4 linked regions of the Drosophila melanogaster genome follow. The protein of the gene in region 4 purifies or fractionates together with the protein of the main gene of each other region. This does not show direct contact. Each region holds a gene or a part of one and is shown on either strand. Other genes may lie near its edges. The genes, in order: Tmep, CG14767, CG7668 and sty.

Evidence for each region.
Region 1: the proteins of sty (region 4) and Tmep purify together in Drosophila melanogaster (affinity purification with mass spectrometry, with the first as the bait; one large-scale study listed by BioGRID). This does not show direct contact.
Region 2: the proteins of sty (region 4) and CG14767 purify together in Drosophila melanogaster (affinity purification with mass spectrometry, with the first as the bait; one large-scale study listed by BioGRID). This does not show direct contact.
Region 3: the proteins of sty (region 4) and CG7668 purify together in Drosophila melanogaster (affinity purification with mass spectrometry, with the first as the bait; one large-scale study listed by BioGRID). This does not show direct contact.

The regions. Positions count from the first base shown.
Region 1 is NT_037436.4:1,567,620-1,575,186, reverse strand, and holds the start of Tmep (transmembrane endosomal protein), read right to left. Parts: upstream 6,007-7,567; 5' UTR 5,646-6,006; intron 3,287-5,645; exon of another isoform or gene 3,202-3,286; 5' UTR 3,201-3,201; coding exon 2,949-3,200; intron 2,896-2,948; coding exon 2,730-2,895; intron 2,664-2,729; coding exon 2,405-2,663; intron 2,219-2,404; coding exon 1,879-2,218; intron 1,642-1,878; coding exon 1,567-1,641; intron 1,508-1,566; coding exon 1,423-1,507; intron 1,194-1,422; coding exon of another isoform or gene 1,159-1,193; exon of another isoform or gene 455-1,158; intron 200-454; coding exon 1-199.
Region 2 is NT_033778.4:8,717,817-8,725,778, forward strand, and holds CG14767 (uncharacterized protein), read right to left. Parts: upstream 6,024-7,962; 5' UTR 5,890-6,023; intron 5,682-5,889; exon of another isoform or gene 5,637-5,681; 5' UTR 5,615-5,636; coding exon 5,441-5,614; intron 3,809-5,440; exon of another isoform or gene 3,693-3,808; coding exon of another isoform or gene 2,337-3,692; exon of another isoform or gene 2,284-2,336; intron 2,217-2,283; coding exon 2,027-2,216; intron 1,969-2,026; coding exon 1,830-1,968; intron 1,674-1,829; coding exon 878-1,673; 3' UTR 201-877; downstream 1-200. Other genes in the region: CG30357 (uncharacterized protein), read right to left, coding at 2,337-3,692.
Region 3 is NT_037436.4:20,001,122-20,005,373, reverse strand, and holds CG7668 (uncharacterized protein), read right to left. Parts: upstream 2,639-4,252; 5' UTR 2,457-2,638; coding exon 2,382-2,456; intron 2,072-2,381; coding exon 1,011-2,071; intron 958-1,010; coding exon 825-957; 3' UTR 540-824; downstream 1-539. Other genes in the region: Tom20 (translocase of outer membrane 20), read right to left, coding at 3,215-3,524, 3,938-4,013, 4,078-4,207.
Region 4 is NT_037436.4:3,421,897-3,426,544, forward strand, and holds the start of sty (sprouty), read right to left. Parts: upstream 3,040-4,648; 5' UTR 2,529-3,039; intron 1-2,528. UniProt on the Drosophila melanogaster protein: Inhibitor of tracheal branching that restricts branch budding by antagonizing the BNL-FGF pathway (BNL: branchless, an fgf inducer of branching).

The sequences.
Region 1 (7,567 bases), 1.9 Mb from region 4:
TGGAACTTCCTCTGGTTGCCCAGCGTCTTTGAGGCCATGCAGTTGCTGCCGCCGTTGCCGCCAGATCCTGGTCCAGTGGCCACCGCATCGTATCCACCGCTGGTGGGCTGCGACGCCTGCATGCCTCCAGCTGCTGCTCCCGAGCTGGGATCGTCGGGATCGTAGCTGGAGACGCGAATGCCGCGGGAATTCTTGCCACCTGTGCGGGTTTCATTGGAGGGAATGGACTTAATCGTTACGGGTCACACAGATCGAGGGTCTAACTTATTAACAAGAAACATTAGATCATGCCATGCTTGTCACAACCATTCCTCGATTAAGTATGTTACTGAAGATTTTAGTTATTAGTTAATTCTACGATAAAAATCTTAATCGAGGCACGGATATATGATATATATAGTTGGAAAGAGGCCAATAAACATGCAACGAAGAAAACGAGGCGAGGCAAACAGTTGTCAAGCTTATCGTACATTTATTGCTAAGTATTTTAGATATTTTATACAATTGGTTTAAACATTTACAAACAGAAGTAAATAGAAGGACGACGAGAGCTTATCACAAAAGGGTGGTCAAAAGGGGAAATCAAAATAAAAGAAGGAAAAACTTCGTTTTTGGTATCTTTGAGCGAAACGGAAACACGTAAATAAATGCTGAGGGGAAACTAGCTTGAAGATCGCTTGAATGGGGAATCCTGTTCAGCGACTGCCATTGTTGCATACAGTATAATAAAATCTTTGTTTACAAATACATAATATTGTACAATATTATAGTTCGTTTCGTACATAGCTAACGTCTAAATAAGTTGTTTTAAAAAACGCTTAAGTTTAGGTGTAGAGTGTAAACGTAGGAAATACAGAAACACAGACGCAGAGGCAACTCTAAAAGCCCTGAACTCAATGGACTGGCTAAGTTAATTTCTGTTCAGCTTTCAGCGTTTTGTGGAGTGAGTAAGTAAGTAACTAGGCCTAGTACGTATCTTCCTCTCTGAGCTTGGTTTCGGGGGATACTGTGGGGCATTAAGCTAGGGCTAAGGCGCTAGGGCTATAAGTACACTTGTTTGCTTCGCTTTCGGATCGCGTCCCGCTCGGAAATGTGGAATTGTGATTGCAATTAGTGTTTAGTAGCGAGCATCGCTAGAGTTTTGCTTTTGATATTGATTTAGAGCTTTTCGTAACGCTGAGCCGAGGTTACTTCTGCAAAAGATAAGAAAACAAGAAAGAAAAACAAAAGTGTGAAAAACATAACGATAATGGAATGGAAATGGTAATGGAAATTCGCATCGAAATGCATTAAATGAGAGCGACGAACACAAGAGATAAGATAAGTTAAGCAGGCTCGATGAAAAGAACGAACATGCCACAGACACAGAGCACAAAGAGAAGAAGTTGGGCTAAAAAGACGAGAAAGCGAGTAAAAACCAACCTGAGCTGTACTGCGTGTACTGCTGGTACTGCGGATGGAAGTTGTGTATAGCATCTGTCATAATATCCTTGGGATTCATTGTTTCCTGCGAAGGATTGCGGGAGTTTTAGATACGGGAATTCCCAGGGAAATATTCCAGCTTACCTTAAGACTGCTGGAAATGGACTGCATGGTGACAGACCGTCCGTGGCCATCGCTGATGCAGCTGCGTGCGTAGACCTACAAAGAGCATACAACATTTAAGTTATTTTTACTGCAAGCACTTCGTTTTAGCTGATTTCTTCTAGCCAAGTCAGCATTACACGAATACCTTTCACATATCTAACAAGTGTAAGGAAAGCCGCTTAATAAACACCGAAATAACCGAAAAAAAGCACTCAAGTCAGCACTATCTAATCACCAAAAATCGTAAATAGCTGCGTAAAATCTAGCCCACTCCGACATTCCAAAACTCACCTGATAGGGGAATGCATAGCGCAGCGCGATGGCGGCGAACAGCATTTCGATGCAGATGAAGAAGTTCTGGTATCCGGCGGAGACGGTACCGGGTTCCACGGTAACAGTGCCTGCACTGTCTACAATGGGCGAGATAACATTGGCCTTCTCCAGGATGGCCAGACCCACGCCCTGCCAGAAGGACAAGAAGATGACGGACTTAATGGTACAGAACTTTAGCACGGGCTCGAACGGAGTCAGCAGATCACGCGTGGCGAAGTAGAACAGATAGAGGCCATACAACGCCAGCGACACGGAGATGTTGTAGATAATCGTGATGTAAATGTAACCGCCATCAGCACTGCAATTTAGATAAGGAGATATTATTAGTGGGAATGATATGTACCTATAAGTTCTCTCTTTTGCAAAGTGTTACTTAATGGCAGATTTACTGGTTTACAGTTGGTAATTTATTGCGCACGCTCGTTGTTTTTATGCCACCATTTCAGATGCAATAACGCGGGTCATTAAAGATAAACCACATTACCTCCAATCGCCATCGTGGTAGTGGCCAAATGCCTGCAGAAAGATGATAATGAAGGCCACCAGCGGCTTGACCAGGCAGAACTGCAGAGTGGCCTGCTTGCAGAAGCGCAGGAAGCCAATCGTGTAGGTCTTGCCCTTCAGACAGCAGGTGCCATACAGGCACGATGTCTTGATGGGCTTGCCGCGAATCTCCGACATAATATTGCCCTCGCCACCCAGGTACTCATAGCACAGCGACAAGAAGTTGTAGATGACAAAGGCTGGATGGAAATGGGGTTAGCAATTAGTCGATGGGCAAAAATCATTCAAAATCAAATCAGCCGAACCTTCGTAGCAGTCGCGCACCGTAAAGAAGTAGATGTAAACGTTATCCGAGTTGAAGAAAAGCAGACTGATCCAGGAGTATGTGGCATAGATGGGCACAATGAACAAAATGCGCACGATCCAGCGCTGCTCCTGTGGATTCGTGTACCAGCGCAGGTGCTGGTAGATCTGCCAAAGATATCCATTAGTACACAACTCAGACCAATGACGCCTTAACTCACCTGTTGACATGTGATGAAGAGGGCGGCCCAGACGCACACCCCAGCTAGAACCTGGGCGGTCTTTGTCTGCAGGAAGATGCCATCGCCCACGTGGAGCAGCGGGTCCAGCGGCGTGCTCATCGGAGTGTTCTTTACCTGCACCACGTAGTTGGGCTTCCCTGTAGCCTCAAGCGATCCCGCAGTTGTAGCCGTGGCGTTTCCACTACTGGCATTTAGAGCCGCCTCGATGAGACTGGCGGCGGTTGTGCTCATGCTGCAATGGAATCCAGAACGAGGAAGACCGATTAGCGTGGGTGTAACTGGGCTAGGTTCAGGAGCTATTGTGCGGCCAGTTGAAGTGCTCAGCACAGACAGCTAGGCAGGCAAAATGTTTACGTTCTCGTCTCGACTTTCACACGAACATTGCTCCGAAAATGACATTCTTACTCAGAGACACGAAACCCCATTTCAGCACTGCTGTGCTGCGCTCTTAGCTATATTATAGTTACACCTGATTTATTCAAGCTCCTAACTCATAATCTAAATTCATTAGTGAATTATTTCTTTGTATTTTCATATGCTTTCGAATTATTCGCACTTATATAAAGGTTTAAACAACACGCTTGGTCAGAAATTGTGAATCCAGTCATGTGCAAGATGTTGAATAATAGTCATTGAATAATTATGATTTTAAATAAACATCCATTATGTATGTGCATTAATATCTGTGTGTTTTTATTGCCCTGGAATATGGATTTTTAAGGTTTATTATGAAAATGTTCTTATCTTGATAAGTTCATATGTGTTCTATGAATCTTTTCCATGTTGCCCCAAAATTTGTGACAGCACTGCAACAATGTTTGGACGGATTTGGGTCAGCAAGAAGCAAAGTGGGGAATGTGGAGCGGCAGCAGGAACAAAAACAAAAACAAACAAAAGAGTTGGCGGCGGGCGGCGGGTGGTGAACGGGATTGGGTTGGGATTTTGGGAGCAGAGGGACAGAGGCGCGCGCATTAGATCATCACGCAATCCAATATTAATAATGGACTCTGGCGCAGCCAAGGAAAGTTATGGCCACCTCCACACCCACCTTCCACCTTGTCTCAGGGTCACTTCAAACTGCTCCATATCGATTTCACCCGCCTGGGAATGCCAACCAATCAATAGGCGAGTGCAAAGCAAGCAGAATGAATTACATATTTGATAGATCTTGAGTCCATTTGAGTGAAGTTTTTTTTTTTAAATAATCTCGAATGGGGAGCTTTTTGAGCAGCGATGCTATTGTGCGTACAAAAATAACCGAAAGTGCAATGGATACAAATAAACTGAAAGTTCTGGTGGAACGGAAACATATGGCAGTTCAAGAGGATTATGGGGGCCAAGAAATGCGATAAGCATTCGAGGAAACAGGGGGGAAATACAGAATAATGTTAAAATCTTGCGTGGAATCCACTTACTCTAATATTCCAAAAAGGCAAAACCTACAAATCGAAGTGAAATAGAATTGAAAATATCGGAAATGACGAACAGGAAGTAAAATGAAATGTCAAAGTTCCTTGCTGAACAGTGGGAAAAAAGGGTATCGCCCATGGTAAATTCCGATATTATTTATTCAACACCATTTAAAAAAAAAACTCTTTTTTTGAGGAGTGCCTTTACCAATCATTTTTAATAACATCAAGTACAAGATAGCTCGAAACACTGACTCACCACTAAAGGGTTGGGAAACACTAAAAACTTAATAAACTTAACAAAAAAAAGGTGTAATAAACACCTTTTTTTATGATTTAGTTTTAACAAATGGGATATTTTGTGATTATAGAGTCATTTTATCTCCAGAAATGGTATTCAAATATAAAAACTCTTTGGATGTTTTGAATACTTATGGTATATTGTGAGTATTCCAGTTGTGCTGACAAGAGTTTCCCATTAGGGGAATAAAAATCACGTTAATGATAACGAATGAGTCACGAACTCGTGCAAAAGTTAATAATACTCGCATTGTTGAACTCGAATTTGTGAGCAAAACGCAAAGCGTTAAATGTTAAACGCTTGAAATTTGCTTACGAATCTCGGCGACACCGAAAGCCAGAAGTAAATGGCCAAAAGAAGAGGCAGAAGAAGAGTGAGAGAAGGCTAAGCGAAACACAATCAGCTGCACAAAGAAGAAGCAACAACAAGTTGCTGCTGGCGGAGATACACAGAAATTGGCCAAGCAAAAGTCTCCAAGCGAAGAAGAGTCTCCAAAGGTGGCAAGAGACGAGTAAAAGCCATATTGCGATGATTGTGAGGGAAAAGGAGGCGCGGTAAGTTGGTAATTATGGAGCAGGGTGTGTTGGAGGTCGGAAGCCTTGCTGTGGGGCTTCAGTGGGTAAATTGAATTTCAGGCAAAAACAAAAACATATGCAGCGTCAATAAACCATATGCGAAACGACCTTTTGGAGAGTGGGGAAAGAAGAAGACTCGAGCTTATCTTCATTGCTCTTCCACTCACGCACACACAAACACACACAAGTACACTAACACCTTGCTTATCAATGCAAAAGTACATTGACAACAACGAAAACACAGAAAACGAGCTCAATAATTTCGTCATCGAATCGGGTAATCCACAACCTGCCATTTCAGGGAAAACAACTTTTACACAAACACACACACATGCAGAAAACCTGCACGCACAAACTGAACAATTCCTTTTTTAATTGGTACGCTAATTACCTTTTTTCAAATGCAACTCTCCACGCTTTAGAGCGTTTTCACAGTTGCAAATTCCGTTTAATTTCGCTGCACCCGTTTTATATAGATTTTCAAATCTCAATACGTTTTTCTTTCTTTTTTTCACCTGACGCCAGTCGCGTCGCCCACTGACGTCGTCGCTCTTGTTTGGGGCTAAAAGAATGGCCTACAGCGGTTGACTTATGGCCGCGGCGGTACGCAATATGTTTGCCAATGTTTGAACACGATTCCTGGATGTTTTTTTCGCGGATCGTGGGTGTGAAAACAGCGAAGGAAAGCGGAGCAAAATAAATGAAAACTACGCACGAATCGTGTTGGTGTGTGACCTAACTACACTAAGCGCTAAAATCTGCGTGCCAATACATAAAAAATACCGAAACATATGTTTTACAGTATTTGCGTGGGAGTGCTGCGTAGTTATTTTCTTTTCGTTTGCTAATTAAATACCACAAGTGTTCACACTGTGCATCACGCGCACAGGCGCATCTTATCACTTGCGCTCCGCTTGACTTCGGATAAAATAACATAAGCAATTCCAACTAATATGGTAACAAACTTAAGTTAGCAGTAACAATTAAATTAACAGGGAAAAATATTTTGTAGCACTTGCACATTTAAGACTCGTTAATGTTCAATTGTTCAATACTCCAGCACAATCTTGCAAGATCAACATATACCATAGATTATATTAAAATTTAAAAGGTTAATAAATGTAATTGTTTGGTTACTTTATTGTTTTAAATAAACGTCATATAGTGACTAACGAATTAGAATTGTTTTTAACAATTAACCAAATCGCATTTCAGAAACCCCTTCATATTTTGCTCACAGGGTGCCCGTGGTCTTCGGAGTGATTTTTTTCTGCTGCACGACTACAGGTCACACTTTTCGTGTCAGCCATGTTGTTTTCTGTCACCAAACCCTCGCAAGCGTAGGAATTACAAAACAGCATTTCACTTTTTGTGTTGCCAGGAAAATATAAATTTTTCAGGCCGATCATCAGCAGGAATAATCAAAATAAATATATAGCAATTGAGCCAAAACAAACCCAACTGTTTTTGTGCATTGGTGGTCCAGAATAAGTGGAGTTTTGAATGGTTTTCATGGTGAGTAAAGTTCATTGAATAAATTCAGTACTCGTACTTAAAACAGCGACACCTCGCCCCCTCCGCTTCTCCTCTTCGTTCGTTTCGCTTCTGCTTCTTCCCGTGGAGATGCTTCAACATCAACGACTTCGAAGCAGCAACAACAACACTGCACGGGAGCGAGAAGAAAAACCAAGAAACTGCTGGAAACAGTGAAAATCGGTTAAAACCATTACCCAAAAGTATGTTGATCAGTATTGATTGGTGCTTAACGACTCGCAGATTCCTCTTTGCGCTCTGTTTCGTTTCGGTGTGCAATTCATATTTTATGCTTAGGGTACAGTCTCGGTTCTACTAGCAGCCCCGTTCCAGATTCGATTTCAAGATGAAAGGCATTATGTAAATACATTTCCGCGAATAAATTGTGTACCGCCTGTCACACATTCGGGGGTAGAAATATATATATTGCTCTTGGTCGTAGTAAATACCTGTATTAGCGAACATACCTGAATTGGCTTTAAACCGAAACATAGGTAGTCCGATACAAAGTCTTGCTTAGCTAGGATCACTCAGGAACTGAAAGATCTCTTATTAACAAGCATGCTAATAAAATGCAGAAAATAAAACAACGGATTTGTTTAGCATTGCCAAGGCAACATATCAATTGGGTTTTATAGCGCTTACCATTAAATAGTCTTAATAGCTGTTTGATCGGAAAACATACCACTATTTCATATTGGTACATAACTTTAAGGCTATCAAACAATTTTTAAAATATATTTCTATAATTATAAATGATATATGGATAAATGCAGCCAC
Region 2 (7,962 bases), on a different chromosome or scaffold from region 4:
AACAAAGTTATTTTGTTTCTTTCCCCAATTAAAATAAATATCATCAACTCTGTTAAAGGATTAACACTATAAACTAAAAAGTCAACATTCCAACTCTATTGAAAATGAAACCAATTTCCAAATAGAATTAGGGTATCAGCTGAAATTGGAAATTATATTATAATGTTCTTTAAATTAAAATGAAGTCGCAAACACAAATTAAATATAAACTAATTTTTATTCGAATATCTTTGCATATTTAGTACACAGTATACATTTAGATATTGTACACACATAAAACTTTACTGTTGCTGGTAATATCATCATAATTAATGGATTATGACTGCCTGTGCTCTGAATTCAGTACACGGTATTCAATATGCATAGTCTTACGAGATAACTTAAAACAAAGAACATCGTAAAGGTGTCTACAATGCCAGCGACACTCTCTGGTAACAACTACTTGGGCCTACAATATCCGAACTTCTCAGGCTAGTTCGGGCCAAATGAAAAACGTTCTAACAGATTGTTGCAGCTAAAATCGGGTCAGATGCGGCCGAAAAGGAATTGATGCTTTCCTCGCCAGCATCACAATATGTTTTTGGCTTTAATGCTTTTGTTTACTAAATTAGCAGCAACTAGAGCGTCTTAGTTGTACGTTAAACAACAATAATGAGCGATGGCTAATAGCGAAAACTTGTTTGCGTTTCGTTTTTCTAAAAACAGTGTTCAATACATTGAAGCAACCATTAAGAAGGTGTATGTGTGCCTGGGAATGATAGCTGCGAAATGAGGGACCAGAAACCAGATCATCTGGGCAAGAAGAGGATGGGAGAGGGGTGGTCACCGCTGATCACAACCCACTCGCCATGAGAAGCAATCCAGTCGAAAGTACTGTTTAAGCCTGGCTTTCGTCGCGTCCGCCGAATACTTGTCCCGGGATGTTTGGCTGGCGATGCAGCGGCGATTGCGATGGCACTTGCACCTGGGCATCGGCAACGTCGTTGTAGGGCGGAGGAGGCGGAATGCCACCGATTACATCAACGCCAGCGTCAATAACCTCCAAATCGTCCGCTTCCTCGTCGACATTAGCGTTTACAGCTGCATCGCTGCGGCGCATTGGTGGCGTATTGGCATTGACATGCATAGTGTTGTTATTGTTCGGCTGATCATTGTTATTATCCATGTTGTCATCCGTGTTGGAGGCTACGTTCGCGGTAGTGGCTGCTCCAAGGGCCACGAAGAGAGGGGCCACCGAAGGATTAACCTCCGCACCTCCAACAGCTGCGTCTTCACCCTCTTCGTAGTTTGACATGGCCACCTGATAAGATGGCGGTGGTGCCTGCTTCAAGTACTGGGCAATCGCTTCATCGTAATTGGGCAACAGAGTGGAGTAAGACCGCTCTTCGGCACCAAAGGTTCCGCCAACACTGTGGACTCCAGTCGGTGGCTCCAGGAAGGGGAACAGGGTGCGAACGTGTTGCTGACGGAGCGTCAAGTACTTGTAGCAGCGCCAAACGATACCAATGCAATAGGCCTTTAGAAACACAATGCAGATGAATACGACCAGGACAACAACAACTAGCTCCTCAGGTGGTAGTTCTAGCAGCTTCTCGCGCCACGGCAAGCGATGCGACTCGGCAATGATGCTGTGAATGGCCTGCAGGTAGCACAGATATCCAGCGGCGGTGAGACTATGATAACGAACAATGCATAAGTACATTAATCTCCCTATTAAAAGAGTCCTAGAAACCTCGAAGGATTTAAGAAGGCTATTTAAGCTTTACTAAAGTAAAGTGGCGATTTAAATCTTTTGAGGTCTCTGTAACTCCACCGATTATAATCCTTACGTTGTAATAGCGAAATCAAACAATTGCAAACAGAAGAACGGCAACAGGTGGGAGGGTTTTCCCTTGATGGTTCCGTAGATCATCATCAGTGTAATGGCTATCATGCAGGTGCACACCAGTCCGCCCATATCGAAGTTCTCTGCAGCAGAAAATTGATATTTAAATGCGTTGCGGAACTTGCTCTCTCCACTGCTTACGGTAACGCTTACGATAGTTGAGGGAGTGGTCACGGTAGGCGTAGGGCGGTTCGACCTTGCTAAGGGGCGTGGGTAGGGCCGGTGCACTCAGATCCACGGTGTAGTCGTGGGTGCCACCTTCCAGTTCGTCCATCATCTCCGGATTGCGCCATATGACCGCTAGAACGCTTAGCGCCAATATGTTCAAGAACTGAAAATAAACGTAGGCGGTTTTACTTACTAAAATAATTAAACTGTTTAATTGCACATGGAGGCTTACATATATAAGTAGAAATATATATTTTACAAGTTCTACAACCAACGTGGAGACTCAACTGTTGGGCTTAGTTAAATCAGACTTCTTTGCCTGGCAACTGAAGCAAACATTGCTAGCATCTACTGGTTCCAGAGATTTCCAATAATCCCGGTGCTGGCGTTGCGTGTAATTAAGATATTCAAGGAACGCGTCGTAGGTTAAGTCCACCGTGTTCCTGCATTGCATTCGATGATGATACGGACATTTCCGGTCGTATATCCAAGTGCGTTGCACGGGTGGCTTTACGCAAGCCTTATGCAAATAGTGCTTAAAAGCCTCCCGATCTTTTCCATAAAACATCCGCGTGGTCGTGTACGCGATGCCTTCATGAATGGCTTGGCGCACAATTGGCTGCGCTACGATTCTCCCCACCCCCACAGATGTGACATCCGGTTTCTGTAAACGGATGAGCAACCACGGCGGGATTAGTCCAAAACGTATGCTGGATACAACATCCGTTACGTTTTCCTCTCTTTGAGGCCAGTGGTGGCTTAGCCACCGAGCGGCTGCCATGAAGACCTCCAGCTCCGTATTCACGCCTATCAGATCCGATTGGATGAGCAATAGCATTGATTTCAGCGGCAGTCTCAAAAACTCTTTCGATGCCACCAGCGTGAGAAAAAACTTTGAGACGCGCTCAAGATATTGCAAATGGATAACCTCAAGTTTCAGTATTTTCGCCTCAAAGTACAGCATCGCAGCGGAGTCCTCAGTGAATCCATGATCGAGGCAATACTTGCACTGCCTGACCAACTGTGGAATCTCCATAAATTTGGCAGCGTGGAAAACCTCTAGGAGACCGAGTCGCGGCAAGACTGGCGTGTCCTCGATCATCCATTCGTAGATTAGGCCAAAGGAGCGTGGCGTAATCATCTTTTCGGGCAGGGCCACGCTCAGGTCATTGCCCATATCGCGAAACATTCGCGAAAAGCTCTGTAAGACCATCAGGTGCACGGGATGACTTGTCTTTCCTATGGTGATCTCTGAATTGGTCTTTGTACGTTGCTTTACAAGGCTCACAATCTGTTGGTACAAATTGACCTTCCCTTTTAGAACCTTACTGATTTTTGATTTCTTTAAAAGCCCGGCTGTCGAGTATCCCAATGAGAATAGTGTACGCTCTTTAAGGGTGTTGAAAGCGTCAGTCTGGATTTTTAGTTCAGAAAGGGACGAGCAATTGATGGCAGTTGTATTGATGAACAAATCCCTTAGCTCATCATTCATCTCCTGTATCTCTTCTAGCTCCTCCACCGCTTCGACATCCTTATTCGCCTTAGAAGCATAGCCGCGCAGGATGACTTTATTTGAGGAAACAATGTCAATAGGACAACAAGAACTGCCTTCCGGAAATGTGTCGTCTGTGTGGGGCATTGCATTCGAATCTCGCAAATGCCTTCACCAGTTGGACAGCTTCCTCCGGATGGAATTTCATTGGAAGTAGTGGGGAATGTAGACTTTTGTGTGAGCAGAACAATATTTATAAAAATGTGAATAAGTTGTAAACGTCACAAACTAAGCAAAGATTCCCAAGGATCACGAGGGGGGACTTTAATGATAGCTCAACATTTAAAAGTATTTCGAGTGCGTTAGCAGGTGCATGGGTCCGCTCATGAAGATAAGCTGGCAAAAAAGAAGATAAGAAAGCTTCGCCTGATTTGATTTGCAGCCTGTGTGCTGATAGATGACAGCTGAATTAACAATTCTCAGATTTATGACAGCACGCTTCAGAATGTTGTTCCAGAAGAATATATCTTTCTTACCGAAAAGCAAGAGTAAGCCACCACAAGAGTAAATATTTTCGCATCACTTGTCGAGTACGTGTAGTTATTAAAAATAACTTGAACGCTCATGTTTCTGGTTGCTGTTTGCTCAGATGGCTGCCGTTGGATATCCGATTCAGTATCTAAGTATCTCAGGTTGAAGGCCTTGCAACGACCCGAGATGCGGCAACTTGCCATCTTTAGTTAAATTATTCATCAGAAATTCATCATGAAATTTAATCTGCAGTGCGCCGCAGTATATCAACAATTGTCACTCTGGGGATGAGTCAACCAAACAACAAGCAACCTTCGATTTGCGGAATTGCTTTGTTTTTAAAGCCTCTAACGCCATACATATCTACAAAATGTAAACAAAGAAACCCTTGAGATTGGACAGATTAGAAAAGATAACTCCACTGCTGTCCACACCATAATCAACCCATGTGACGGAGTTTTCTACTGGAAAACGTGACCTGATCAAAGCATAAAGAAAGTAGCGGAACAGTGTAAAATATACACGAATAGCGTAGTGAGACAAATACTATTAAGCAAGGGTTTTTGCTCAACGACTCAAATCTTTTATTGGCCGCAGATTCGCGCTCTCTTAAGGGCAGAGCATTCTCTTTCATTTTCAGAAGAGACATCAAAGGTTTCTGGGTTTCCAAAAACATTGATAACAAGACTGAAAATACTGCACTTTGCACATTTATATCCCTTTTTTTAGCCAATAAAACTAATTTCTTATGAAACTTTTGAAAATTCGACAATGCTTTACATTTCTCCAAGTGTAGCGATTGCTAATGCGAAGTCAGATCTTGTGAAAGGTTAGTTTCGGACAATGGACATGGGATGTGGAAACTTCCGCAGTGGAACCGATGGCAGAAATAAGTTGTTGTGCCAAAAAGCCCCGATGATAGTACAGTATAATTCGCTTAGCTGCATCGATAGTTAGCTGCATCGGCAAGATATCTGCATTATTTTTCCATTTTTTTGTGTGAATAGAAAATAGAAAATAGAAAAAAAAAAATTAAGTTAGCTGCATTTTTAAGTTACCTGCATCGAGGCATTGTGCAAAGTACTCGAGGCAGCTAAGCGAATTATACTGTAGTTAAATTTGATCAGATGACGCAGCAGCGGCCAATCAGCCACCAATTGACGTCACAGGCGGGGAAAGTGCAGAGTTGGCTCGTCTTCGTCTTCGCAAAGTTTTGCAGTCATTGGCTGATTGATTTTTCCCTTGCGTGACACTGAGCAGGGTCAAAGGTTTTTCGCAAATGCCGCAGGACTGCATGCGTGGGTGTATCTCGATATACACACACGCATGTATGGATTAAAGGATACCCCCCTTGATGCACTTACCAGGTGCCACAATCCGATCATCAAAGTGGCCGTGTGGACATGCAGGCCGAAGCAGCAGGTGAACTCCTTCAGGTGACGGTTTCCGGTGCTGCTGCTACTTCCGGCGGCACCATTGTTGTTGTTGCTGTGGAGCTGGTTGCGTTGGGGACCCATCTTGAGGTGGATCCTAAACATTGCACGCCCCACGAAACTGCGGCTGTGGAAAATGAATGCGAAAACGAAAGCGATAACGATAACGAGTGCAGAAAATAATCAGCAATTGTGGGTGTTTTATTCCTCCCACGGATGTGTGTTTGTGTGTGTATGTGTGTTTAGGTGTAGGTGTGTGTTGCATCTACGAGTATGTATGTATGCATTTGTATTTATGTGTGCCACTTTTTCACGACTGATGCTTTGACCTTTTGCACTACTAATTCGGCAATTGATTCACTCTCCTTTATAAGGCGTACCTTTGATTTGTGGGCCAATGCAACTTGCACTGGTTTTCAACTCCGATTTATATCTGCAGCTCTTGATGTATTCAATTTTATTTAACTGCTGCGCAGCACGAAAACCCGTGAGCACTAATCTCTGAAAGTGGTAAAATGCCGCGCAACACGGTCACACTGACATTATGCGTTTTGCAGAACGGTAACGTTTATACGAGTCATTATTCGCAAATATCATGATATTATACAATAATTTTTGAATTAGATGTCATATAAATAAACAACAAAACGAAGAGATGTAAGCTCATTTATTTCTAAATATTCATAGTTTATGTATTTTGTGTCCCCAAATGTAAATTGATATGTTTTTATTACTATTATTGAAGTTAATATTATTTTTAAAATTTACTTCGAAAGGAGCAACTCAAGATAGGTTTGTGCTTCCGCATCGTAAAGTAAATATTAATTTTAAAAAGTACGGTAAGTGTGACCGGTGCGAACGCTAAAGCGCCAATCCGCAAACATCGATAGCAGCGATGCAATCAAAATACATGCTTTGCTATCGTAGGGTGACCATAACTAAAAGATTTGGAGAGCCAACTGCAGCAAAACAGAGATAAAATTGACAGCGAACGGAATTGAAATGGCTTAAACCGCATGCCTAATCAGACTCGCGTAGAATTTTAGCCCGTGTTTATTTTATTTATTGAAACGAAGCCAGTGAACGTGGGGTGCAATTGCTGTTATATAAAAGTACGGCACTGTAACTGCAGTTTTACAGTAAGTTTCGTTTATCAGTTCCCCTTTGTGTACCTTGTTTCCTTCAGTTTTGCGTCGTTCGTTAGCGCGCTCTCTGTCGCTCTCTCTCTATCTCTTTAGTACGTATCCATCCCACCCCTTCTCTGTTATTCCCAACTACGTCACCCACCGAATTCACTTTTGTTTGCTATTTATAGCTGCGGATTAACTGCACTTCGCAGCCAGGAACATGGGGATATAAAGTGAGAAAAAGTTGATGGTCTGGTGGTCCGTTTTCCATATCGCTAATCGCGTGTTATCAGGGCCAAACAACAGGCCATCGTAAATAAGCGTTTTAAGCTGTCAATCAGCTGATTTTGCATCCATAAATAAAAGAGTGCTGCTTGTAGCCTTATCTGTAGGTTAACCACATATATTAACCTGCTTCAAACACCTTTCTCCGATTTCGGACGTCCCAAATTTTCCAGCCGCGGTGGCTCAGTCGTCTAAGGCAACTGGAATTCCCTACGAAATCAGTGCGCGAGTTCGAGTTCGAGTCTCCGCCCATGCTTGTTGGCTTCTTCCGACGATCACCCACGTTATTTAGCCGTTAACTCCTTGGGCTACATTAATTTTTTTTGTCATTTCCCTAACTTACATGTGTAAAAAAAAGAGTATCTTACATGTGTTTAGTTTATCTCAAAAGTGGAACAATCCTCCTTTAAAAATGTTTGGAGTGGGTCTTCAAAGAGAAGATCATATGCTTACGTTTTTATAAACTTAAACTTCCGGATGATACATTTCGAAAGCAAACCTTATCCCCCAAGGTGCAGTAGATAAAATCTGTCAAGCGTGAAAACTTGTTATTAAGTTTATTTTAAACATGTTTTAAAATCGTTTGGAAATGCACTTTATCTTACCACCATCGAAACAAAAGCTTCAGGCACTGCAAATGTTTCAAAAAAATTAAAAATAGTTGACTATAATAACATGTATGTTTACCCTAAACCTTCCTTTAATTTCTAAACTACGACTTTTGGAAACTCGGGTTATACTTGGAGGTCCGGCTTTGTTTGGTGGTCTTGGTCATCCCCCTTTTGTTTGTTTCCCTCTCAATCTTCAATTCTCTCTGCTCTCTGGCTTCAAGTGGTGACGTAATTTAAAGCGCTGCAATCGTCTTGTTTTGGTCTTATAAGAAATACACGCTTTGGGAACCGGTTTGGAACACTACTCTTGTTTTCGGAACTGCGCCACACCAAAACAAACCTTTCTCCACCACGGCAAAATCATCATCATCATTATTTTATGCTTAGTCTGCGTCCGAATAGATATCCATAGTCCGAGACTGTCCGGTCG
Region 3 (4,252 bases), about 17 Mb from region 4:
GACTTTCGATTGAAACATACTTTCCCTTCTCATTCAATTGCTACCGACGACGCACACCGTTTACTGCGATTTAAAGCAACTTAAACCGCAGTCAATGAGAACAGAAATTCAACTGATTCGACTTTTCGTTTCGAGGTCCTAACGAGTTGGGCCATGTCCTGCGCTTGCAACCTCCAGCTGCAACCTCCAACAGCAACTTCGAGCTCATCCGGACCAGCTTGAGCATGGAGCACCCCTATTTCCCCTTCTGTTATTGAGTCCTTTGACCCTCTCTGGTAAAAATATCCCAGCTTTATTGCGGAGAACATGCATATGTCTGACTTGTTACATGTTTTAGACAAATGTATTTGTTATTGCTAAATATTTTGTGAGGCTAGGAAAATGCTCCACTTCACTGTTAGATGCAATTTGTTGCCTTCTGCAGATTTTTATGTTTTATTTTTTTTTTTTCTATTATGTATTATTATTACTATTTATCAAAATATATTTATATTTTATAGAAACTTGGGCAATTTAATACGGCATTCCTGCGATAAAATCGATTTTATCAAACGCGCCATCTGGTGGGATTTTCATGTAAATTTCCCTCGACCGTAAAATAACAAAGTCGGTATTATTACGATAAAAAAAATACCAAGCGAAGCTAGATTTTACTTGCAAATACAGCATACAGCATTTATAGGACCTTCAAGCCTGTTATCCACTCTTTGGTCGACACTAAAACTTAACATTCTACAATAATTAGGCTGAAAATGAACAGGTAGAAATTATTTTACAACTTTTATTTCCGTGACAATGTTATTTGACAAGCCATTATACTTGGCTCACGGCATTGGTCTGATTAGCATTTTGCACGACTTCAGGGGATATCTATTACCAACATTCCAATTACCCCACCAAATGCCATCGGTCGTGTCCAACTCAACTTTGGAATTCCGATATTTTCCGTTCAAGTTACTGAAAAAGAATTATTTTTCAAAATCATTAAACAAAAACAAGTTCATACATACCAGTTCATTGTACCCCACCATTTCGATGATTCCATTGCAAACGGATTTCCAACAATAATATGGTTTATATGACTGCGAAATGCGTCGCCAGCATTTCCTGAGTATTCGCCAAGGGAAAGCAGTTTGTATTTCTGTTTTTCATCGCCAATAACAAAATTATCATATCTTGCATAAGCACTAGCATTGTCGAAATCGACGAGCTGGATATATAGTTCCATTCGTCGATGTGTCGTCATTTTATGCAATTTTTGTAGGCCAAGCCAGAACTCGCCACCCAAATCCCCACAGCCCGTTATTATATTTGATTCAGTGGCGTTATCGAAACTGCCATCGATTCTACGCTGGATTATCATCCAACCACGACCGGCAGAAGGAATATCCTCGAAAACTGAGGCAAAGGGTTCGAAATCAGGTAGTGTCACCAATTTAATTGAAGGCAACTTGGAAGAGCCCAGTAATACGAATTCATCGTGGTCCTTATTATTAACGTTATACTCAGACAATATCTCTGTCATTTTCACTATCTTTTCGTCCTTCGCCTTTACTGCACCTTCCAATTGCACAATTTTTAGCTTCGACTCGTCAATTTTGAATTCTAGTCTGGCGATTTCCGCCTCTTTTGAGTTCAAAATTTTCTCGATTTCAACAATCTGATCATTCCCCTCTCGAAATTTTCCATTTTCCATATTTAACTCCTTTCGTTCTTTCACAACTTTATCATGCGCTGGAGCACAATTTCCTCCATCGTTCTTCTTAATTGTAATCCTACTCAAGTCGAGATCACTTTGCAAGTCCATAATTTGAGTTTGTAACTTCTGTATGGTCATTTCTTTTGTTTGCGTTACTAAGTCAATCGACAATTGCAGGGTCTTAATAAAATCATCCTTATCCTTGATGCAGTTTTCAAGTATACTGCCCTTCTCCTGTTGGGCCTTCAGATTTATTTCAGCCTCCGCCAACTTTCGGGTGAGTTCCGATATTTTCCTCTCATCTTTTTTCTTATGTTTCAGCATTCCCCGTGCACTTGTGCCCACAAATTCCATTTCCGAATCACTGCTGCTCTGAAAAACGAAAGAGTATACAATATTCGCTGAGAACTATGTGCATGAATTCATGATTACGATCACTATCGGATCTGACTGAGTCTATTCAAAGACACTAGAATCGGAATTTGGGGAAGTACATATAAAGCGAAAAGTTTTTATCAAAGACATTAGAATAATAAAGACATTAGACATTATTATTTTAGTGTCTTTGATTTTTATTTTACTTGTGAATTTATATCAATACACCAAAAGAATTTTCAAATTTCTCACACGTTCTTCTCTATCTATGTAAGTAACGAGAATCGAGAAAAATCTTATTGCTCACCGAATTGTTCTCAGTGCTGGAATCTGGAGAGGATCGCGAATTCTGAGAAAAGTTGTTCTGGTCCTCCGGCTTCATGGGGATTAATTTATCAGCACCACGTTTTATCGTACCTAAAAGCACTCCAAACGGAATTTGCAATAATCCGTGCAATAAATTTAAAGATGTAAAGCAAGTGCCTATATTTGTAACAACTCAAAATACAAAAAAATCCGATGAATTGCACGTAGCTGTTTAGCTCTAAGTGTTACCAGATATGGACTGAGGGAGTTACGCAGTCCGGCTAGAACATGGCATAGGGGGTATTCCGTAAATTTAATTACTGGGTATCATCTTTGAAAAGGAACTTTTGCATTTTCAAACTATTGCTTTAAATAAGTGTATAAGAACCATTTCTCATTTGATTAAGCTGCCTAGATGGCAGTAGTACGCTTTTCCTATAAATAATCACTTATATTTAAATACCAAAGAAACTTTGGAATACCTTTATTATCAAACCGGTTAGGAGATATATGTATTTATTCCCAAGATATTCAACATGTTAATAATCTTTTATTGTTGATAAACTTTCACACACTTTAACACATACCCTGTTATACATACATATTGCAAAACATTTAGGTCTGCAGAGTTGATCTTTGATATTCGCCTAACGTAAATACCACGCACAAAACAAAGCTCAATTGTTAAGTGTTAACAGTTTACGCATATTTATTTGTATGTATTGGGAACATCCAGAGAAATCAATATATAAAAAAAATATAATGTTTATATGTGAAGCCCTTAATTTCTACTGTTGAAATTTATATCTCAATTTCTGTAGCCATCTCCAAGTACTATTCGAGGTCGTCGATACTTGCGTTTCCAGATGAACACTCTATAATTTTGGCTCCGTCCAGTTGTTGCTCCGAGCTCTGCCCCAAAACGATTGGCCCGTCGTTGCCCTCGGCCGCTCGATTGCCGAACTCCTGCATCTTGACGATCAGCATCGCGAATACTTGAGCTGGAAGGGAGGATTGCAGCACCTGCAGCAGACGAGCCGGCTGGCCACACACGACGATGGCATTCGCCAAGTGCTCCACGCCACTCTCGAAATCTCCGCGGGCGATCAGGGTCTCGCCCAGCTGGATTTCTTGAAGGAAATATCTGCAAATATCATGGTTTAATTAGTTTGGAACAGCTGATTCGATGCACACTATTACGAATTAAATTAATGCCAGGCAAATTAGGTGCATATAAATAATATAAATTGTGCACAGTTGCAACAATAATAACTATTTGTATATTCAAATTATGAATTTCTTGGCAGGAAGCCTGCTGAGAATCCAAACACTGAAATGTGCTTGTTAATCCAAGGCAGTGGAGTCTTTAGATGCCTGAGGCAATAAGCAGCAACACGATGAACACGCAAGTGTAATGGGACTCCACATAAAATATGTACATCGATTTGGCTGGAGAAACATATGTGGGCTTGTTTGTTTGAATGGAGGTGTATTGAATCGCCAGGCACCACTACACGTGCCACATTATATAATGCGACTCCCATGGGAGTGTCCTACCTTTCGATGGCTTCATGGTCGTTCAGATTGGGAACTCCAGACTTGGCAGTGCCGGTTTTCTTGTTGCGACGGCGACCTAGGAAGTGATGAAATGATGAGTTTCTTTCATAATTCAGTTGGGGCGCAATGGGGATTCTTACGCTCACGGACTTTCTTCTTGTACTCGGGATCGCTGCGGCGCTTCTTGTCGAAGTAGATGCAGTATCCAATAAACAGAGTTCCAGCTACTCCCGCTGCAATGCCGATTGCAGTTTTGTTCATTTCAATCATATTACTACGGAAATCCTCTGTATTAACTTGGTCTTATTTTACATT
Region 4 (4,648 bases):
TTACTTCCAAATTCGTCAAAGTAGGCTCGAAACCGAATTCCGAATTCCGTCGGAACCCCCACATGAAAAACTATCTAAAAAATTGTGTTTATTTTTTATGTCTTCTCTCTATCAATATTTTAGCTAAACAAATTTGTGACAAACGCAAAATGACGATGGCAACGCCAACTCGCTTCCGTTGCGATCGATAAAGTGAAAAAATGGTATAAAGGCATTAAGAAAAATACTTTTACCAAATTAACATGAAAATACTTTGTATTTTGTTTAGAAAATATAAAATATTAACCTAAGGTTCAAAAAATTGTGAAACACATAAATATAATGTGAAAAAATATTTTTTGTGTCTACAAAAAACAATTGGATTGGTGCAGTGTGTAATTAGAAACTATATTATAAATAGATAATTAATTAATATTTTTTCTAATCAAGCAATAATTCTACTAAATCTATTATTTCTACCGGTGCAAAATGCGAAAGAAAAGAGGGGCCGAGTTAAGATCCGAGAAAAGCCCACAACTGAAATTGGAACGCATAGCTCATATTTTGGATTTGAGTAGTTGGGGCCACGAAGGCGGGGGAGTTGCCCATGCCCACATGGCCTGCCTATTCATAATTATATTGGAGGAGCCCCAGCCCCCGGAACCACCTTAAATGGAGCTCCACATGTATATGCGTATGCAGCGTGAGCCAAAAACTGGACACTCCGGCGGAAGCCATTTATGGCAAAAAAAAAACTTAATATAAATAAGATAAAAAAAAAACATTGGCACACCCGGGTCCAAAAATGCGAGAGGCACAGGGCCCAGAGGATCGGTTCGAATCGGATCGATATCGATGGCATAGTCCGTGGAATGCCAATGCAAAGCAGAAGGTGAAGGACTGAGGATTTGGGAGGCTGGAGGAGTCAACGGCGCAGACCAGTAGCCACATCCGCTGTCAAGTCTTTTGGGAAATTAACGCAGTTATTCACGCAATTATGTTACGCGACCGACCCAAAGAAAAGGTCTCCTCCGACAGGGCCAGCCCAACCCAGAGCCAAAAAAAAAAAAAAAAATTAAAATAAGAAACCCAGGAGAACTCACTCGCAGGGAATTGGAATTCCTGCGACGATCAGCATGAAATGTGCGCATTAGTCTTGGTCAACGCCAGTCCCAAAGACAGAGCTAATTGAACGGTACAGATTCAGCGAAACCTTAACCCTCTGGGTATCCTAGGGGTTTTAGGAAAACTCCCAGATGCTTTGGTTTTACCCAAAGTCATATAGAAACAGACCAAGACCTTGCATTTAAATGTACTTCTTATGACTTCTTTAATCATTAAAGGACTTTCCAATTTGCAATTCTTTGCTATGATTTAAACAATGATTATTGCCTACATTTATATCAGAATTTAATTATACATAATATCCCCATTTATATATTCAAATGTAAAACTACATTATGTTTGCAAAATGGGTTAAGTTTTTAAAATTCTTGCTGAGCCTCAGCCTCCATGTGAGCTGGCATAAAAGGCCAAAGTGTGTCTCAGCTTTCAGCCTTCAGTCCGATCTTGATTTCGCGTCATTATGATTCGCATACAGATTATACAAATTTCGAAAAAAGATATATATTCGGAGGGTAGGGACTGGTTGGTCTTCATGTTTATGAGACATCTGCAGACAAACGCAGCGGGTAGCCGGCGAACGAAAACACGATCTCCATCCTCATCAGCCAAACCAATTTCATTTCGAGATTCGTTCAGCTGTCGGTATTTGTGGGCTACTGTTTCGAATTTTTCAAAGTCGCCAAATAATTTTAATGATCTGGCACAGCGAACAAAGTACTAAATTAACTTAAGAGCCTTCTTCCAGCCACTTCGCCCCACTCATCCTCGCCGATTCCGCCTTTCCCCCCATTTGGGGCAGTGAAAATGATTTATGGCATTCCAGAATGCCTAAGCTCTAAGGCTCAGGCATAAGATTTGATTTTTAGGTAGGGAAAAAGGGTACAGATGACAAATTTATAAAATTAAGACCTATCATACTATCGATTAAATGTTATTCCATTACTCAAAGCTCAAAGATATTGTAGGGAAATTGTTCATCATTGTTTGACTAAAAGAAACAATGTCACGAATTTATTTTTATCGAGTTGATCTTGTTTTTTTAAAATATTGGCTAGGATAGACTTTTCAACTTTTCCAGAAATTTAATTCCCAATTTCTACAAACTATACAACCGCGTATTTACTCAGATATTTAAGATTCAAATGGATGAACATTTTATAATACATTTATAATATCCTTGACAAATCTTCGATAAGATCTCTTGCATAAAAATCACTGGCATATAAATGACTTTTAATGCCTTTCCAACTGATGAGCACTGGTCACTTAACCTTTGGGTGACTTTTAGCTCTCAAGAGAAGAACAAAAAGTCAAGATCCAAAGTTCCAATTGACAATATGAATGACTTGAGACATTTAAGTGTTCTTCGACTGCGAAGGTTCATATATTGATAGAGATGGACAAGGGACAATGAAGCTACTCACCGGTGAAGGGAAGTTGCTTGATGGATGGGTTCTGGTTGAAAGTTTTCCTCGGCTTGGTCGACTCGATTGCAGATAATGCGGATAATTTGATTAGAGATTTTTTTTGGCTCGGTACAGCTCGCCTTTGTTCGTTCTGGTTTTTGGGGTTGATTGAGTTGTTTTGTTTTTCTGGTGGCAACTGTACTCAACGAGATGCCTTGGTTAATTGATTAATAGCACGATTAATTTGTAATAAAGTTAAAGAGGCTTACGCTATGTATGATTATGTTTTTTTTTTCAATGGGATAGTTTACTATTTAAAATTGTTAATTATTTAAAAACACGCGCACTTTTACTTGGATTCACTTAAATTACGCATACGCCGTGTGCGCATCTATTAATCGCTAATTGCGTTGTGTCTTTGAACATACAACTGTATATATATCGGGTATATATATTTGGTAAATAATTTTGCAAGCACAAGTTCTCGGAGATTGCACGTTGAATGCAGCCTGACTATCGTCCAGTGACTGAGCCAATGTTGCACGACTTTTGCATCGGAGCTGCAGCCTCACCCGAAGATTGCCGATAGGATCTCGTCCTGGAGGGGAATACCCATTCGTTGGGCCGAAGGTCCCAAAATCCGAAACACGAAACGACATTGCGTGGGCTTCGTGCGACATTCGTATTGTTTTCCGATTTCGGCTATTGCTGCAGGACTAATCCTGGCTCCTGGCTGCTGGTTGCTCCTGTTCCCAGCTCCTGGCTCCCAGTTCCCTCCATTTGCATGGCCATCCAGCCCCCTCCAATTGCCTACCAACCCACCAGCCACCCGCCACCCAACATCCTGGCCTCGGTGGCCCGGCCAATGAGCACTCGGCTTTCAAGGTCGTCCGTTTGACGGCCATTTTGAATGCATCGCCACTTTCAATGGGCGCCCACTCACACACGCCTGCATTTCCTGGCCCAATGAGCTGGGCTCTGGCCCACTCAGTTGCCTTGGCAACGACCTTCGGTAGGCGTCGCCTCGACATTGGCCATGGCAGTGAATTTCCACTTGGGGGTTGTTGCAATTACCCCCAAGGTCATCCGTTGTCCATCAGCTGTTCGGCCAGGGTTGCCCTGCCTCCTTAAGGCGGGCTTATTTGAAAATTAGCCAGCACCCTGTGCACCGCTCCCAAATTAAAATCGAACAGCACACTCAAAGCTCATTTCGTTTACTGCCCCATAAATTAATCAGTGAAAATAATAAAGATTTCAATATTATTTCCAACGACATCCGGTCGAATGCGGCACCAAATTTGGCGGAAAGCAGCCACTTCGCCGAGCTCCACATATGGGCGGTACGCATCACAATAACTCTACATATATATTTGTATACGTATATATTGTATATGTATAAGGAACATCAGAATAAAGAACAATAAAAAGCTAAAGTCTAACAAGAAAGCTGAGTGAGCTAAATTGGATTCAAAAACGAATGTGGATTACTTTCTTGAGCGCTAGGAAAATGTTATTTTAGGATGAGTAAGTTGAGTAAGATACTTTTTGAATAGCATTAAATAATAATATATTTTAAATACTTCCCAAGAACATAAAGAAACAAAATAACCTTTTAAGATAAGGGTATCCCCGAAAGAATTTCATTTGCTTTGCTGCGGAGTTGGACAACTGGACATCTGCCATTGTTTGGACCCTAAATTGAAATGCCAACCGAAATGTGAATCATTCGATCAGATCAAACTCGACAACAAAAAGTGGTCTGCCATTCAATTATATATACGTATGTATATTGGCCGAAACATTTTTGGGCAAACAAATTCGAATAAATGAGTGTGAATGCGAACGGACAGAATAAAAATAAATGAAATTTCATTGAACGAAAATGCTCAATGAGAAATCCGTATGAAAGTTGGCCAAGTTGATGTCTGGGTGTTTGGCTCTGATGGCTTTTCGTGCATTCAATCCGCAATGAATACGCCACCCCAGTCCAACAGTTTTCCCGCCTGACGTCACAAGTGTCCTAGATAATCGCCGCAGTGGCAGAGGTAACACATTGGCCTCGAGGTGAATGTCTAAACATGAACTCGAGGGCAATTTCAGACAGCCAAAAGAATAAAAATAAAAATCACACTCACAGC